Regions from separate parts of the Mus musculus genome. Here region 1 is reported to be linked to region 2. The links are microRNA targets in miRTarBase. Many come from high-throughput screens and were not tested one by one. Region 2 holds a microRNA gene; the other region holds the end of a gene's coding sequence.

The links. Region 2 holds the annotated microRNA mmu-miR-34a-3p (AAUCAGCAAGUAUACUGCCCU, at 1,349-1,369, shown strand). A microRNA usually pairs through its seed, bases 2 to 8, with sites in the 3' UTR of a target mRNA and lowers its output. Matches are read on the target gene's strand: a 7mer-m8 pairs with bases 2 to 8, a 7mer-A1 pairs with bases 2 to 7 and ends in A, and an 8mer does both.
Region 1: miRTarBase lists Foxo3 as a target of mmu-miR-34a-3p. The part of its 3' UTR that is shown has no 7-base or 8-base seed match.

Annotation. Positions count from the first base shown.
Region 1 is chr10:42,193,923-42,197,173 of GRCm38, reverse strand. It overlaps Foxo3 (forkhead box O3), which reads left to right. Exons shown (of 4, transcript NM_001376967.1): 3 at 1-708. The coding sequence ends at 673. Among named protein-coding and RNA genes, the nearest start is that of Gm38485, 79 kb to the left of the region's middle.
Region 2 is chr4:150,067,169-150,070,419 of GRCm38, forward strand. It overlaps Mir34a (microRNA 34a), which reads left to right and starts at 1,286; the gene lies at 1,286-1,387.

The DNA of each region.
Region 1 (3,251 bases), not on the chromosome of region 2:
TATCCAGGAGAACAGACCAGCCACCTTCTCTTCCGTGTCACACTACGGCAACCAGACACTCCAAGACCTGCTTGCTTCAGACTCACTCAGCCACAGCGACGTCATGATGACCCAGTCGGACCCCTTGATGTCTCAGGCTAGCACCGCCGTGTCCGCCCAGAATGCCCGCCGGAACGTGATGCTTCGCAACGATCCAATGATGTCCTTTGCTGCCCAGCCTACCCAGGGGAGTTTGGTCAATCAGAACTTGCTCCACCACCAGCACCAAACCCAGGGCGCTCTTGGTGGCAGCCGTGCCTTGTCAAATTCTGTCAGCAACATGGGCTTGAGTGACTCCAGCAGCCTTGGCTCAGCCAAACACCAGCAGCAGTCTCCCGCCAGCCAGTCTATGCAAACCCTCTCGGACTCTCTCTCAGGCTCCTCACTGTATTCAGCTAGTGCAAACCTTCCCGTCATGGGCCACGATAAGTTCCCCAGTGACTTGGACCTGGACATGTTCAATGGGAGCTTGGAATGTGACATGGAGTCCATCATCCGTAGTGAACTCATGGATGCTGACGGGTTGGATTTTAACTTTGACTCCCTCATCTCCACACAGAACGTTGTTGGTTTGAATGTGGGGAACTTCACTGGTGCTAAGCAGGCCTCATCTCAAAGCTGGGTACCAGGCTGAAGGATCACTGAGGAAAGGGGAAATGGGCAAAGCAGGTTAGTGCGCCACAATGCAATGGGAAAGCATCGCCGGTGGGCGGGGCGGGGGGGGGGCGGGGGAATGGGGGGGGTGACTCCTATCCTGACAGCGCATGCAGCAGTCAGGACTCCCAGCCGGTTCATCAGAGTTTTACCTGTAAACAAGACAGGGCTCACAGCTGTCAGTAATAAAAAGAACACCCAAATATTCAAAAAGCTCACTCTTTATGTCCTCTGTTGTCACTATGAGGCAGGTTCTCCTACCCTCTGTGTGTGGGTGGATAAGAGAAGGAAAGGGGAGGAAGGTCAAAGGTCACAGGGAAACACACCAGCCCGAGGAGTTTCTTAAAAAGGCTCACATCTAGCGCTGGTTTAATCTCTTGTGTGATGGTTCTTCACCCCCTAGGAAAGTAGTGTTTTGCGCTAGGAAAGTGTTAATGGCATGTTCTTAGATCACTACCTCGTTGATAGCAGAGACCCTTTGCAGAAAGGACACGAGAGATTGTGGGAAGAGTTTAGAACCAGCTGGTGCTGTGATGTCAAAAGCAATGGACTTGGGCAGTTGGGACACACCTATAGTCCCAGCACTTGCAGGTGGCGAGGCTACATAGTGAGGCCCTGAAGGTCCAGTCAGCTCCTGAGTGTCTGTCTGTCTGTCTGTCTCTCTTTCTCTCTCTCTGTTTATACAGTGGGATTAGTGGTCCTACCAGTCCATAGAGCTACTGTAAGAGTCAGATGCACAGAAGAGTGTGAAAGAGTTTTGTAAAACTTCACCAGGTCGGACGTACCAAGGGCAGTTGAGTGAGTGTACTGACTGACAGATGAGCAAGCCGGGAACCACAGAGGTTAAATACTTTGCCCAGGTCACACAGTTTGTCCCAGAGACTACACGTCTTAAGTGGCTTGATTCCTATTTTCTGTAAATGGTTTTTTAAAAGGCACTGTGGACTGAGCCAGCCTGAACTCTTCTCCTGCCTTGGGGAGGGGAGGCTGGCTGTTTATGCCAGCTGGTTTGTCTCAGTGTGGCTTCACATACCCGGGGTTGAAAGGCTCTGCACCCTCAGCTCCCATTTTCTTCTGTTTTTAATTTCAATCTCAGCAAGCTGCTTACCTCCTCCTTCAAGCTGCACAAAAGAGAAAAGGAACCCAGAGCCCTAAGCCCCACCCAGCCTTGTTAGCCCTCCTCCCTGGTGCAGGCATCATAAGGGTCTGCTAGAGCAAGCGAGCGCCTGAGCTCACTGAAGCCCTCCTGGTAGCTGTCCAGGGGAGTGTCAGAGCATCCCTGGGCTAAGCATCTCAATGTTCCCAGGCCCAAGAGGGCTCCTGGTGGACGCCCAGACCTCGCTGTAGTCCTTAGTAGCTTGGAGCCAGGAGAAGACCATAGTGAAAGCTGAGTAGCATGACCTTGCCAGCCGGTTACTCCCGGACCTGTTGGGTCATGGCGATTGACTTTAGAGATGTAGGTACATTCTGAGGTTTATCTCCAGTGAGGAAGACTGTGGTTGTGGTTTCTGACATGAGAATGTTGAATTTGTCATTGTAAGTAGAGACCACTTCCCTGTTCACCAAACCTGCGAAAATGTCCTATCAGCTTTTGTCTGTTTCAGTTGGATGTTCCTGGTTAAACAGCATGCTGTGTGTGTGTGTGTGTGTGTGTGTGTGTGTGTGTGTTGGTGTTGTGTTTATCAAAGTTATATGGAAATCTATTAAGGGAGATTTAAATATATAATAGCCTTCAATTTTATTAGTGCTAAACTTAGCACTAATAAACTTAGCTTGTTTCCACTTTATTAAAGGCAGACTCTCAGCCTCACCTTCCCTGACGAGTGTCCCCAGCCCCAGAGCCCCATCCTTCTGGTTTGCCGCTGCCTTGGTATTTCTCCAGACTGGTTTGCAGTGTGCTGACCCAAGGTCATGTGGCCCCATTGAGGCTAAAAGGAGCAGCCCTGGCCAGGTGACATTTTACTGAAGAACCTCTGTGACAGGCTCTGGAGATCTGGGAGTCTGATGTGTAGCTGTGTGTTGGTAGCGTCACGTCCTGGGTGGGTAGCGCCCCATCCTTCACCCATGCTTGTGGACTTTTCCATGTACAGGAGCGGGAGACGGGACTTGGTGGCTGTAGTCTGGGCTTTCAGTGAGCCCTCTTAAGCTTGACAAGACCCATGCCGGATGACTTAGCATGCCTTAGCATGCTGGAATTTCTTGGTCATCCCTGCCTACAATCTCACTGTTACACATTTTCCACTTGTTTTTACTATGAGCATAAAAATAAGGTCCTGCTACTTCAGGAGCTCCAAAGGTCAAAGGTCAGGCTGAACTCAGATGCCAGCTTCTTGTTAACTATCCAGCAAGACCTCTCCTTTAGTTCGTGCCTGTCTTCAAGGGCCAGTTTCTCAGATGAGCACCCACCTCAGCACATTGTCTCTGGGCTCTACTCTGAGGGGACCTGCAGGTGAAAACACCTCTGCAGCTCACCCAGAGTTGCACAGGGTCCCTGTGGCGGAAAAACTGAGCTTCGCAGATGGGTCTGTGGGATGGTGTCCTGCTATTTGTCTCTGAGT
Region 2 (3,251 bases):
CAACTCTTCTGGCTCCACCCCGTTCCTAGGTGACCGCGGAGCCCCGGAGGAGTATGATAGATGTCATATTTAGAGTTGGACAACCCACAGTCTTGTACACAGACGACTTGTGGGTCTCCGTTAACCGCCGGCTACCTCAAAAGTCAGCTTCTCTGAGAGATGCACTAATCTGGATCCTTTTTGTTTACGGTGCTGGGGATGAAGCCCAACGTCCGGCACCTGTCAAGCAAGGGCTCCATCGACTGAACAAGTGAACGGCCCCAGCCCAGTCTCTGCATATTAAGGCAGCCAGCAGGGAATAGTGGTCAGTTTTCTGTGTAACTGGAGGCCTGGGGTCCACAGGCATCCACCCAAACACTGGCCTAGGTGTTGGTGTGAAGGACTCCAGCTTCCGGAGTCACTGCCCTGAAGTGAAGAGTACCCTCTACTCTCAGACAGTAGGTGGGCTTCAGCCATCCTGTTGAGGGACTATACTTCCTGCTGAGCCCAGTCTCAGCTCTGCAGGCCTGACCAGTCTCACTGGTTAACGGGGTTTGGTTGAGGGAAGGTCGCTGTTGTTTCACATCTCTTTGTTGGATTACTGGGGGTGGGGTGCATGTCATAGCGTGTGTGTGTGTGTGTGTGTGTGTGTGTGTGTGTGTGTGTGTGTGTTCTGGGATCTAACTCAGGTCCCCTTGCTTGGTAGCAAGTGCCTTTGCCTTTGCCCGCTGTCCTATCTCACTGGCTTAGTTTTATTTGTAAAGATTTGCTTGTTTGAATGTGTATACGTGTTTTGCCTGATGTGTATACACTGTGTGTGTGCCTGGTACCCCCGGAGGCCAGATGAGGGTGTCAGAGTCCCTGTAACTGGAGTTACAGGTGGTTGTGAGTCACCTTGCAGGTGCTCAGAATAGAACCTGGGTCCTCTGCAAGAGCAGACAGTGCTCTTAACCGCTGAGCCATCTCTTCAGCTTCCAGTTTTTACTTCAGTCTCACCATATTGCCCAGACTGGTCTTGAACTCCTAAACTCAAAGGAACCTCCTGACTCAGCCTCCTTGTGGAAGCCGGAAGGCATTCCTGAAGCCCTCCTGGTGGCGCTGTCCCTCCAGCTGAATCCCGACTAGTGCGCCCTTCGTGGGTGCTGGATGGGGAGGCACTGCTGTACCCTGCTGCTTCCCTCCTGTGCTAGCGTGCTGGCTTCCAAGTGCTGGAGGAGTGTGTCATACCTCGGTAGGGTCCACTACACATCTTTCTCCCGCAGCCTCTCCATCTTCCTGTGACTGCGGGCGCCTCAGCCTGGGCTGGCCAGCTGTGAGTAATTCTTTGGCAGTGTCTTAGCTGGTTGTTGTGAGTATTAGCTAAGGAAGCAATCAGCAAGTATACTGCCCTAGAAGTGCTGCACATTGTTGGGCCGAGAAGGAAAAGGTCAGAGGTCAGCAACGCCCACACCCCTGAGAGGCGCTGGACTTGCGGAGCTGCTCGACCATACTGGTGGGTATGGGATGCTGGGGAGGCTGGTGTTAGCACCCCACGGGGAGCATGTTTACGGGGGCTGAGTGTCAGGGGGAGGCACTGGGTCTGGAGTGTGAGCACTTCTGGCTAAGAGAAGTTTGCATGTCGGGGTACTAATTACAGCATGGAAGGAGACTGTATGATGTGTGTTGATCCTCCTAGCCAAACAGCCACCATCTTGGGGCATTCCGCTGTGCCCTCTTGCAAAAGGACTCTTCCTGCTGGGCTTGCTGGCTGTTTACACTTCTTGTGGAGGGCTGGGGACGGTCACAAGACCCTCACCTGAATGTCCAGCTGCCCCCTTCCACCTGCTCCATGCAACTCTGCCTGAAGCGCACGTGGCCTCAGAGAGGGGCTGAGCTCTGTAGTCTGGGTAAGCCCAGGCAGACCGCTGCTGTTGAGTGAAGGCTTTCTGCGTTTGGGCTGTTGGAGATCCAGGGTATACATCAAGGGTCTGCTGTGATCTGCTTCTTACAGACAGACAGACACACGGGTTCAAACAGAAAGGTAGCCGAGGACACAGGACATAGCAGGGGTGGAGTGCAGAAGTCTCCGGCTGGTGCCCCAGGGAATGGGCCCAGGGCTCAGAGCTGCCTTGCTGTTGAACCCACAGTGCCTCCTCTCATGAAGCGGGTTTCAAGTGCATCTCAGAAAACCTGGATGAGTTGATGGCTTACGTCCAGAATTCAAGAGGGCAACTGGTTTAGTAGCCTGACTACATAATGAGTTTGGGGCCATCCTGAGATACAATGTGAAAACCTCAAAAACACAAAAACAACCACCACCACCAGCAACAAAAATTGGTACAAGTTTCCCTTTTCAGTCAAAGCCCGGCCCAGGATGCTGATGGCTTTGAGGGGGTAACCTCTACCATTTGAGGTCGAACCTTAGACTGAAGATAGATACCCCTCTCTTCTTTCTCTTTCTGGGTTTTTTTTTCCAGTTATTTTTTGGGTTTTTTTTTTTTTTTTTTTTTTTTCGAGACAGGGTTTCTCTGTATAGCCCTGGCTGTCCTGGAGCTCACTTTGTATACCAGGCTGGCCTCGAACTCAGAAATCTGCCTGCCTCTGCCTCCCGAGTGCTGGGATTAAAGGCGTGCGCCACCACGCCCGGCTTTTTCCAGTTATTTTATTTCTTCTTATGTGTGCATTGGGGAGGTGCTCCAAGTGCCATGGCTCACGTGTGGAGGTCAGAGGTCAGCTATATGAAGTACGTTTTCTCCTTTCACCTTTATGTGGGTTTCATACCAGGTCTGCAGGCTGGTTAGGCTTGTGTGACAAGCATCTTTACCCACTGAACCATCCCGATGGCTCTCTGGTTTCTAGAGACGGGGTCTCACTGTGTGGCCCGGGGTTAGCCTGCAGCTTGTCATGCAGACCAGGCTGGCCTCACACTTGAAGCAATCCTCCTGTCTCAGCCTTCCAAGTACTGGGGTGGCAGGCTCATGTCACCACACCCGTCCCCCTCCCTTTCTCCTAATGTTGGTGTGTGTGTGTGTGCAGCCACATTCTTCAGCAAGCCCCTTCCCGCAGGAATTGCTCTCTCCCTAAGTAGACTCTGCACCGAGGGCTGCCTTTCCAGAGGGCCCCTTTGTAATGGGGCCTGGTGGGTGGACCATGTCCTGTGCCCACTCAACCACACACTCCGTTAGCTCCACAGCCCTGGGGAGCCAGGCGTGGGCTGAGTCAGGGCAGCTGACATGCCAGGAATGCTGAGCACTGACAGGAGGGTTCACAGTCCTCCAGGAGGATTGCCCGAA